Linked DNA regions of Nothobranchius furzeri. The protein of the gene in region 1 interacts with the protein of each later gene in a biochemical or structural test. Links are inferred from orthologs where the notes say so. Each region holds a gene or a part of one and is shown on either strand. Other genes may lie near its edges.

Region 1 (3,184 bases):
GCCGGAGGAGCTGGGGAGAGGTCTGGGACTCTCGACGCTTCTGCCCGCTCTGACGCCAGAAGCTGTCGGAGTGGACTTCTTACTGGACCTGGCCGGGGAACCCCTTGGGATTTACCCGGAGGAGCTGGCTCCGGCGGCTGGGGAGAGGGAAGTCTGGGACTTTCGACGCTACATGCCCCCGCAACTCGACTCCGGATACGCGGATGAAAATGGATGGATGGACAAATAACATAGATTTACATGCAAGTAGTTTAAATAGAGTGCTGTGCTGTTTGAATGTATAAGCTGAGCGCCAAGAGAAATCACTAGTTTGATTTTTTTCCGTGAATAAAATAAATATGTCAGGCAGGAGCATCTCAGGATCTGTCTGAGATCTGTCTCGGTGAGACAGATAATAGCAATCCAAAGTGCTTTTTATGTGTGATCTGACAATTGATCAACCATTGCTTAAAAATTAAATACAGCTTAGCCGGTTAATTGCTGTGATCATAAAACATGTAAACGGCAGCACGCAGAACTCACGAGGCAACGTTTTACGTGACGTTTACTTGTTGCTATGAGTAGTAAGACAGAAAAAGCCACGCCAAAATAAGTTTAGGAAGCCCACTAAGAATCGTAATAAAAGCATTTAAAATAAATACCATACACAGTTGAGGAAACGTTGGTTTAAGTACCTGATATGAAGTGGTCGCTGCATAAGCGAAAACCTTTACTCTCGGGATCCCACAGCTTCATTTTAGCCCGGTCACTAGTGCGTTTTATTACAATGATCCAACGTTTGCGGCGCTCCGGATCTTGGGGAATCCTGTAGATGGCTCATTCCTTATGTCGTCCGTGTCTGTTCTGCATCCTGGGGCACAACAGGAATCTACCATATTTCCCGTTTGATTGAGTTCTCTCTGACAATCACAAATAGTCCAGCTGCCGGCTTCTGCCTGCCAAATGGCGCCGTTTCGATTTGAACTGTTGCATGCCGGGAAACGTGACGTCAGCTCTATAGTCAGTCAGAAAAATTCAAGCTAACTGTAGAAAAAGAAGGAGGGGGAAAAATAAAGGATTAATCTTTAGTGTATTGGAGATAAATACCTGATGTGTTCAACCATACGCTACATCAGACTATTGTTTTAGCCTGTTGTATGATTAGCAAGGATTACAGATCGTGGATTCCTGACGGTTTTAGATGTTTCTCTGCTTGAATACTGCAGGTTTTCTTAAAACAGCTAGTATACAACCTGATGAAGGCTGAAGAGATAATTCAGCAGTTAGAATCAGGTGTGTCTGAGCAGCAATTCGTCAAAAACATTCGTTGTCCGTTAGCACTTCAAGGCTAATTGTGCGCGCAGTTTGAGCCCCTTGTAGCTGAAAGCCACGGCCCATACAGCAAAAGGGAGGGGAGCAGAGGTGGGAGCTGTAGTCGTTCAAATCTCCTCCTCATCATGCTACAGACCCCGGCTTTAACAATAACAAATATTATAGATACTGTAACATCATGAGGTACTGTTCACATTCAGGTTTACTATATCTGCAGACACACATCTGTAAAGAACATCACAGAGCTGGTCCATCAGGTTTCCATGGGGATGAAGTACCTGGAGGAGCATAACTTTGTGCACAGAGACCTTGCTGCTAGGAATGTCCTGCTGGTCACGCAACATTATGCAAAGATCAGTGACTTTGGACTCTCTAAAGCTGTGGCAGAGGAGCAAAACTACTACAAGGTAATTCAATCAGCTATCAGTCAGAACTCTGGAGCAGCTGATTTGATCGCCTAAGATTTCAAAATCGATCCCAAAATTACTAGATGGATGAATAAATAAATTGCAAGCCTGAGTATGATCAGTATAATACCCAGACCAGAAGCAGAACTCAGCTCTGCTCCAGTGTGAAGGACAGAAAGAGAATAAAACATCTGGCTTACAGACAGGTTATTTGAATCCCTTCTGGCTTTTGCAGTCATTTAGTATAAAATTATAAAATTACCTAAATGGTCATTCAGTTAGTGATGATGATGATGTGTGCCTCGTCCTTCAGGCTAAGACTCACGGGAAATGGCCAGTGAAATGGTACGCTCCAGAATGTATAAACTTCTTCAAATTTTCTACCAAAAGTGACGTGTGGAGCTTCGGAGTCCTCATGTGGGAGGCCTTTTCCTTTGGCCAAAAACCATACAAGGTACCACTAATCAGCCTGGACACACACACGCACGCACACATGCACACACACACACAAACACACACACACACACACACACACACACACACAAAATGCTCTGAAACTACAGTAATCAATCTCCTCCACGTACACCAGCAGAACATAACCTTGTTGAGGGTCATTAGGGTCAGGTTGGCTCTGATGATGGACCTCTTAGCTTTCTTTCACAGTGTGGAATCAGTGTTTATAACATTTATTACAGGTATGTTTAAACAGCACACAGACAGTACTGAGTGGAAGAATGCTTAATACCTGGGATATTCAGTCCTGGTCCTCCAGGGCCATTACTGCTTGTTTTCCATAGTTTTGCTGCTCTAAAACACTTGGTTTAAATCAGTGGGTGACTAACAGGATTCTGACAAACTTGAGGACCTGATGAAGAAGTGACTGAATCTTTGAATCAGGTGTTGGAACAGCTCAAACATCCAGTGGCCTATCAGGGCTGAGGACACGTGATATAACTGCTCTAAAGATTCCCTTTCAGTCGATTCACTCGGTACAATGAAGGTACTATGGGACATCACGCCCTCGTGTGGCCTGGCTGAAGACACATTTAATCACGCCTGTAAAGGCAAATGAGCCTTTACTGGGTGGTGGTCCCGCCCTCCACCTACAAGCCCCCAGTGTCACTGGCATTTTTCAGTTCTTATGCTCTTCACCTCGCTGATAACATGTGAGTACAAATAACTATTGTTAGCTATGCAATAGAAAAGTTAGCTTGACTGCTTGCTGGTGTTGATTCTGCTGCCTTCTGGTCAGCCTTCACCCACCTAGCGCTACCTTTTTGTGGCTGTTTTAGCTTTCTGCCTCCATGCTCCTTTGCCCCTGCCGCTCTGCTCTGTGTCTCGCCATAAGCACCGTGTTGGACTCAGCTAGGCGAAAGTCTGCTTTGAGTCCCTGTCCTCTGGGCTGTGGGTTTTTTCTCCATGAGAAACACCTGCACGAGGCCTGCCGTGTCTGCATGGTTCGCAGC
Region 2 (4,153 bases), on another chromosome or scaffold:
CCTTTATTAACGTTACTTACTGCAATATTAGGCATCAATATACAAAAGGTCCCTTTATAATGTTACTTTGTGCATTATTAAGCATCAATAAACAGAGTCCCTTTATTAACGTTACTTACTGCAATATTAGGCATCAATAAACAAAGAGTCCCTTTATAACATTACTTTGTGCATTAATAAGCATCAATAAACAAAGGGTATCTTTATTACTGTTACATAGTGCATTATTAATCATCAATAAACAAAGGGTCTCTTTATTAACGTTACATAGTGCATTATCAAGTATCAATATACAAAGGGTCCCTTTATTAACACTAATGTTTTTGTCAACTATTAGTTGTCCTTAAGGTTAGAACAAAGGGTCGGGGATGTCTGTTTAGTAATGCATTACATAATATGGTTATGCAGTTATTACTTTAATTGTTTATTAATACTTAATAATGCACTAAGTGATGTTAATAAAGAGACCCATTTTGTAAATTGTTACAGAATATTTGAAAAACTGAAACATTTTAAACAATCTGCATCTATTCAGCAGTTTCAAAGGATTCCGCTTTTACCAGTTTAATGTTTTGCTGAGATGCACTTTGAGATGCTGAAGCAGAAGAAACCACAAATCAGACTACCAAACACTTAATAAGTGTGTGACCCATTTTTGTCCGGCAAATAAGTTTCCAGTGTTTCTATGTCTGAAAGTGACACAACACAGATTTCTGCGAGCTGACCTCTTTTAAATAAACAGCTATTGAATAAAGCTAAAAAAAAATAAAGGCCGTAGCACGGAGAAAGCATTAAATATCAACCTCTTATAATAAAAGGCTCCGATACTGTATAACATGGTTTACGATCAGGAAAATCTCAAGTGTATCAGTTAGGTCTAAAGAGCAAAGGTTTCAGGATGTTAGATATACAGACACCAGATTTGTCTGTGATCGTTTCTCTCTGTGGCGTTCTTGTTGAGCATTTCACTTTCTGTCCATCAAACGTTAAAAAGAAGCTTAAACATTTATTAAAATCAGACAGAGGCAGCTGACCCATGATTTCAGTTGCTCTCGCTCATCAAAACCCTTCAGATTTGTAATAATCGTGCCATTTCTAGCCTGCAGATAAATTTGGGAAGAATATAAAGTCCTCCAGTTTTCTCCAATAAAATAGGAGCTTCTATAGAAGTCTTTGGGTTGTTACCTGACCGACAGGGAGAAATCACCAACATTTTTCTTGCTGGGTCGAGCCAAAAAGCTGCCAGGGATGCCCCGAGACTTCAGGACCTCCTCGGCTTCCAGACCAGTGATGTCTCTGTGGAACCACCTGCGCCAGGACCAAGAAAACACAAATAATTCAGGTTAGAAATGAAATTAGCGCTGCAGGATTAGATCACTCGTTAGGATGAATGGGAGAATTGTGTTTAGTAAGTTGAAAGAGCTGGATTACTGCATTTCCGTTTTAGATGTTTTGAGATGCTGTTAGACCCAAAAATCTTAATTTTTTTCTGACTAAAGCTCAGTTTGACTCAGTTATTTATGAATTTGTCAGGAAATAAATATTCTGATGTTTTCTATAATTATATCCTTCATTTATCTCTCAGCAGCTAAGATAATGAGATCAGACTGCATTTTAATGCTAAATATAGCCCTGAGATATGAAAAAGGTCAATAATAAAGCTCTAATATAGCAATATAATAATAATAATAATAAAGCAGCGGATCGTCCTCACCTGTGTAATCTAACAATTTTCATGCACATTAAATTAACATATTTAAAGTAAAATGTCTTAATTGTTGTTTAAAAGCTACCAGTTCCAAAAAAATAAACCAGAATTTAAATTACTTTATATTATTTCTTCTTACCTGCAAATATGTCGAAGGATTTAATCTGAATTTTATAGATTATTGACTTCTAAATGTTTAAAAACGACTTATTCTTAAGTTTCATGACACACGTGTGGTTGCGTTTTAAAGAAATAACGAAAAGTAGCTTTCAAAATGAAAACATGCATTTTAATTTGCTTCTAGGTTATGATTTAGTTGTGAAATTCAGCAAAAGCAGCAAAGTCGTGACGTCTGGAAGCTAAATTAGCGCTGGGTTAAAGAGCTAGAAGGTTGAAGATGCACCAATAGGTAAAGTGAATTAAATGTTTTACTTCTGTCACTTTTTTTAAACAAAGCGTGCAGCACATTAGGGGTCATATGACAGAAGAACAGAGCAGGATGAGCGAACGGCTGGCGAAAGATAGAGAAGGAGGAATGGAAACAGAGAAGTTGTCATAATGTTTTGCAAAAAGCACAAAAAAATGTAAAAAAAAACACAAGCAGAGTTGACTAACGCAGCGTTGTGGTGTTCGGCAGAGGCTTGACTCACCGAACCATGTCGTCTCCCGACGTTTTCTGGGACAAAAGAGATGAAGAGCTATCGATGAAGAGCCACTTAAACCTGCGCCACACGTGCCGATTCAAAAGCACAAGTTCGAGGATATTTTCTCTTGTTAGTTGATTGTTAATCTCATGGAAGACAAAACGCTTTGTTGTTGCACTACTTCCTCACTTTGTGCTGACTTCAAATGAATCATGTGTTTGTTCGTTCGCACACTAACCAGACACCATCCCGTCAAAATCATCCGCCCTCAGCTCTCCTCCTCTATCTGACAGCTCAAGTACAAAAACAGGCAAACACTTACTCCTCTCAGCTGCTCCAGTCAACAACTGTCACTCAGGAAGACGCTCACACTGTAGTCGTCTGCGTCTTACCCCCTGCGTTGTTCTCTCTTTCTCTCTGTCACTCCCCTTCCTTCCTTTTTACGTGTCCTTTCACAAAATAGTGAAAGCAAACACAAGAACAAAAATAGCCAACAGGCCGGAATTCCTCAAGTAGATGGAGAAGATGCCGTTTTTCTTCTTCTAATAACGACCACAACAAAAAGTTGTGTGCGAGAGCAGAGAAGGTTTCAGCTCCATCACTCTAAGTTTCCTGTGTCGGATCTCTGCAGCAGAAGCAGCAGCAGCAGATGTAGGTCTGGTGACTCTGCTCAGCGAGCAGCCATCCCATCACGGTCAGAGTCCAAAACAGAGAGTTTAAGTTCCTGGAGACGTCACCAGCGAGAGCACGCTTGGTCTAACAAAAATCACAGGCAAACGTTGTCTCCTCAGCCAGCCCACCTGTCTGCTGTCAGTGCTGTTTGTTCTTTACTTCCAGGTGTGTACCGGTGTGTGCATGTAACACACAAAGGTCAGAGTCACAGAACACTTCCTTATTTGAAGTTTGACCTTCCCCCCCTCGTGTGTGTGTGTGTGTGTGTGTGTGTGTGTGTGTGTGTGTGTTGCTTTTCATCTAATTAACCACTGCAACAGCAAACATAGATGGCATTTAAAGAAGGTTAAACTGGTGATAAATAGTGATCTGTCCATTTAAAGTAAAAGTTCCACAAACACACGTTTATATTTCTATACTTGTGGGGACCTAGCTTTTTAGAGACCGTATGGGGCCTATCCCTAACCATAACCATTACTGGTGTATTCTTAACCTTAACCCTAAATAACACTTAATTCACACAATACCTCTAAAAGCAAGTATGAAGGACTTTTTACACAGTGGGGACCAGCCAAATGTCCCCACGTTACAGGTTAAACGTGACATGTCCCCAAAATGTAGTACAAACAAGGCGCGCACACACACACACACACACACACACACACACACACACACACACACACACACACACACATTTGGTTAAACTGCAAACACAAACTCTTCCATTCCTTTTTTAAGCATGTAAACAAGAATCATTTACGTGATTTCCTGCATTTAACTTGCCAATTATCCCACTTTTTGTTTTGAAATGCTAAAGAAGACAGTTCTAGTGGAAAATATTGGGTTAAACAACGTAAAACGATAAATAAATTGTATGGAGGAGAACACTATTATATATAGCTCTCTGGAGCGCCACACACACACACACACACACACACACACACACAATTGCAGGTGTTGTCGTGGTTAACGCCAGCTATTGCACTCATTATACTCCTGTCAGAATCTCATGTTTTACAGTTAGAGCAGGTTTGACTTCTCTTCCCTTCTGCCTCTGCAGAGCGTTACATAATAGGCAAATGCATCTGCCATACAGCACACACATACACACACACACACATGCACACAC
Region 3 (4,266 bases), on another chromosome or scaffold:
TCCTTATCCCCAGTCAACCTAAAACAGAACATTATTGATTTGTCTCAGTTTCAGGTCGTTTTGATGAAGTGATTTTGCTAACCAAGTAAACATGAGTGTGTAATGCTTCAGTGGAGGATATCTTACTTAAACCATTCAGTCTTGGTCCCTGGAGAGCCGACGCACGAGATAAAAGGAGAACTGGTTTCTCTAGAGAAAGACTTCAGTAACAGTCGTGGCTTTGTGGGACGTTCTAGAAACAAAAAGAAAAATAATGTTTTTGCCTGTTAGCTAAATACTATCATTGGTCAACATGATTCAGTAAAAGCAATTGTTTTAAATCAGAGAATTTTATTAAAGATCAAGTTCAATTGTTTTTTGACACGTTAGCCATGTTCTCTAGAATAAACCAATGCCTTGTGAGTCGATCTCTGTGGGCAAAAAAGCTCTTGTAGTAAAAGAAGAGAGGTGAGCAGAAAACAACTGGATTTATAAATAAATAAATAAATAAATCTTATGTCTTATTTTCTTATACTTGGGACATCTGGCCTCTGATTGGTTAACAGCAGCATGATTCTACTACTGACTCGGTTTGCTTTGCATCGTTGATGTTTTATCTCCACAAATATCACAAGCCTGGAGGAGTTCTGCCATGTGATGGAATTGCTAATGCTAATGGTTAGCTTCTGCTAGCTGAGACATGCTCTGCTTTCTCCTGAATGCTAAATCAACAGGAGGACCATGAGTTTCTTACCAACAGACAGCCTGATGCTGACAGGACTGGATGCATTCAGAGAAGCAGCTGGGACGATGTGGTCCACCTGAGAGGAACAACATCCCACTCTGAGTGGCGTTAGAGGGTAAAACTGTATTTATGTGTTTGACAAACTCATGCAGAGAGTTTTTATCTGGACTTACAGACACAAAGAATTTGGTCTTGGGTGGTATTTTTTTAATAAAGGTGCAGAAAAGGGATGACTCTTCTATGTTGAAGTGAGTTTTTGTGGAAAGGTTATGAACAATCATTACCATTAAATGGCCTCAGTTTGGAGAAATAAAGATGAATTTGGATTTGGATTGATGAGCTAACTGCTAGTCTGAGTAGGGCCAAAATCAAAAGGATGAATGTGGATGCTATTAGCTTTTTAAACAGTTTTCTTTTTACAAAGGAACTGATCTGTTTTAATGTCAATACTTAACAAAGTGACAACTTAAGAAACATACAAATTTTAGTTGAGCTGGTCCTGTTTCCTTATCCATGCCTCACTCTGCTCTGTGGTTTGCCTGTTATGGTTTATAGTAATTTCAAAAAACCACATTTGTTGCGCAAAACCAACTTCATGAACGTGTGATGGCAGCTGAAATGTAGTTCAGAACTTTAGCATTTCTCAGTCAAAAATAAAGTCTTTCAGACTAACACATTTTAAATTTGCTCTTACCTTAGAGCAGAACGCTTTAGTAGCACACAGCAGAACAGCTTGAAAAATAGAAAATATGCACTTTGATTTAAACTTTAAACATATTTTAATCTAAAAAAAAATGGAAGAAAGATACATTTTACACCAGGGCTCGCTCGACTAATATCATTATTCTTTTTTTTCCCAAACAGATACTAATGATGACAGATTTTTCAGACTAAAGTTACAAATCATATTTAGATGGTTTACTTTTTATAATGACATTTTCTGTAAATAAATTCTTATATTATTGCTCTTCATTCTATATATTCATAACAAATAAATGCAATCATGAAATTAACCATTAACCAGGATTCTCTAGTTTATCTTAATATATAATAAAGATTAAATTGGAATACATTCATGTGTGACTTTTTCATAAAAACAAAATCAATGAAGTTACAAATAAAATCAGATCTCAACATTTAAATATGAAACTTTTACTGTGTCACACATTATATGACTTATTTGCTTGTCATACATTTCAGACGCTTTTAGCATTTTATGATTTTTCCTGTCAGTTTAAGGCAATACTACCAGTGGTACAAAACACCACACAATTATTTTATTTCGTGTATATATATATATATATATATATATATATATATATATATATATATATATATATATATATATATATATATATATACTGAATTAAAATAAAACAAAAATAGACATTTAATCAAAATGTTAAGCATTATTACGTATTATTATTTTTGTGTTTACTGTGATTTTACATTACATTAATCCTCCTGGTGCTGAAGATTTTTTTTATTTCCTCAGTGTGGGTTCCTACTTTGCTTTCTAGGCAAGAAAAATGGTCACTTAGGATATTTAGAAATTAATTTAAATGTAAGAACAGGTCAAAAGTGTCAGGAATTTACTTTTTTACATTGTTATACAGGATGTTTTTAAGATTAAAAAAAGATTAGTAAATTTTTAATTAATATCCTGCAATGGTTGAAAATATGAATCAGATTTATCTTTAATAATGACATTGTTTTAATCAAATTACCTAATCTGGATTAGATGTTATGGTAATTCCTCACATTTAAACATTACATTTTTCTTAAATTCAACACAGTAGAATACAACTTTAAATCAGATATCTTACATAGTCTTCACAAAAATCTCATAAATTATTAGAAAAGTGAAGAGCACACATTGAGAATATTTTTTAATGTTCAAAAAGTCTGATTCTACAGTCACAATTTCCAATGATTAACTTTTAAAATGCATTTTCAGCTTTCAACGTCATGAAAAGCTGTGTTTAAACACTCACGTACCTGCAGCTAGTGCACATCTGTTTCCCCGCACCATAATGCTTGCACTCTGTGCCTGGTTTCTCAGCGCAAACAGTGAAACTGCAGCGCACTAAGTGTGCGGGGATCTTTTTAAAGAGAGGAAGTCTTAGAAATAGTCACGCCTATTTGCTCAAAACAACCAAAACATTAGCACCATAGAAATAATTTGAGATGGCAAAATGTATTATTATATGTTGCCATGCGATAAATACAGACATGCAAAAGAAGAGGTATTTTTTTGCAGGAAATAGGAAAATAAATATGTTTGCATAATCGCTATAAGTATATGTATGCTTTTTAAAATTTGTCTCAAAACATGCATATGTGAAACATTGTATTTAGAATAAAACATTTAATTAAAGAAATTGTTTTCCTTTGTTCATGTCCTGAGTGAAACCTCGGTGGTTTCCAAAATTCCCAAAGTTTAGGGCCCGCCACTCGACTGCAGATCCTGCAGTGTTAAATGTGTGGTCTAGAGGGATCAAAACTTAATTAAATTAAAGACTTCGATTGCTAAAATCATATAATTTTTATTATTACACAGCACTAAAACATTATTCATAAATGAATAAAGATTAAATAAAAAATACTAATGTTGCCTTCTGTCTCAGTTTATTTATTAATTTACTCATTTATTTATTAGTGACTTCATCAGAAATACTTGGAGTTGCACTTTAAGTTTAAAATTGGGAAGCAGCGCTCTTGAGTTGAGTTTGCGGCAGGTGAATGATGCTGCACTCCACGCAGCATATCCTTGTTAGCTGCTCTGCTATCGACTCATCAGCCTGGCTGAGAGCAGAAAACAACAACAGGCTCCGCTACAGCGTAGGCAGCTGCATGGACGGTGACAACAACCACCAAGATTTCACACATGCGGGCATATTTTCTTAAACCAAAATGTATTTTAGCTTTATAATACGAGTAATATGGGATGTTAAATGTTATCCGTGAGCTGAAGTGATTTATTTAGAGTAGTAAAGTAGCTGGCTTAGCACTTAGCTCTCCGCGGCTCTATGTTCGAGTGCCTTCCGGCAGCAGTGGCGGCAGCAGTGGTGCCATGAACAGTGGACTCCCACCTTCAGCTGCTCCGCTCGGGGGTGTCGGGATACCCAATGTCAAGGTGAAGTTTTGCCGATACTATGCGAAAGACAAAACCTGCTTCTATGGGGATGAGTGTCAGTTTCTGCACGAAGACCCGTGCATGGGCAGCATGCCGCTGCACGGCGGCGGTAGCCCTGTTCCGCTGGCCACGGCGGGGTACTCCCTCGGCGTCACGGCGGTGACGCCTTGCACTGGCGGTGGAGGGACCGGTGTATCCAAGAAGAACGAAACACTGGGGCCTGCGGGCACGTCCCTAGAGGGGCAGCTATTAACCAGTGAGTACACACGGACAGGGCCCCGGACGAGTTAGCTAACTGACTTTTCTTTGAGGCCTTAAGCAGCGGTCTCGTAATTTAGCCCGAGGACTCGCATGGGCCTCTTTACCGCTAAACAGCGTGGTTTACCGTAACATGCCAGAACCAAAC

What was found.
Region 2: of the proteins of syk (region 1) and ptpn6, one has a biochemical effect on the other in vitro, tested with the Homo sapiens proteins (2 studies listed by BioGRID). The link is inferred for Nothobranchius furzeri from reciprocal best matches to the Homo sapiens genes SYK and PTPN6.
Region 3: of the proteins of syk (region 1) and flt3, one has a biochemical effect on the other in vitro, tested with the Homo sapiens proteins (2 studies listed by IntAct, with this or other methods). The link is inferred for Nothobranchius furzeri from reciprocal best matches to the Homo sapiens genes SYK and FLT3.

What each region holds. Positions count from the first base shown.
Region 1 is NC_091746.1:36,390,281-36,393,464, reverse strand, and holds the end of syk (tyrosine-protein kinase SYK), read left to right. Parts: intron 1-1,528; coding exon 1,529-1,718; intron 1,719-2,031; coding exon 2,032-2,460; 3' UTR 2,461-2,579; downstream 2,580-3,184. UniProt on the Homo sapiens protein: Non-receptor tyrosine kinase which mediates signal transduction downstream of a variety of transmembrane receptors including classical immunoreceptors like the B-cell receptor (BCR).
Region 2 is NC_091745.1:73,981,303-73,985,455, forward strand, and holds the start of ptpn6 (tyrosine-protein phosphatase non-receptor type 6), read right to left. Parts: upstream 2,812-4,153; 5' UTR 2,675-2,811; intron 2,536-2,674; exon of another isoform or gene 2,431-2,535; 5' UTR 2,367-2,430; coding exon 2,359-2,366; intron 1,309-2,358; coding exon 1,186-1,308; intron 1-1,185. UniProt on the Homo sapiens protein: Tyrosine phosphatase enzyme that plays important roles in controlling immune signaling pathways and fundamental physiological processes such as hematopoiesis.
Region 3 is NC_091747.1:51,120,866-51,125,131, forward strand, and holds the start of flt3 (receptor-type tyrosine-protein kinase FLT3), read right to left. Parts: upstream 2,822-4,266; 5' UTR 2,757-2,821; coding exon 2,723-2,756; intron 1,457-2,722; coding exon 1,419-1,456; intron 801-1,418; coding exon 734-800; intron 233-733; coding exon 127-232; intron 19-126; coding exon 1-18. Other genes in the region: PAN2-PAN3 deadenylation complex subunit PAN3, read left to right, coding at 3,798-4,116. UniProt on the Homo sapiens protein: Tyrosine-protein kinase that acts as a cell-surface receptor for the cytokine FLT3LG and regulates differentiation, proliferation and survival of hematopoietic progenitor cells and of dendritic cells.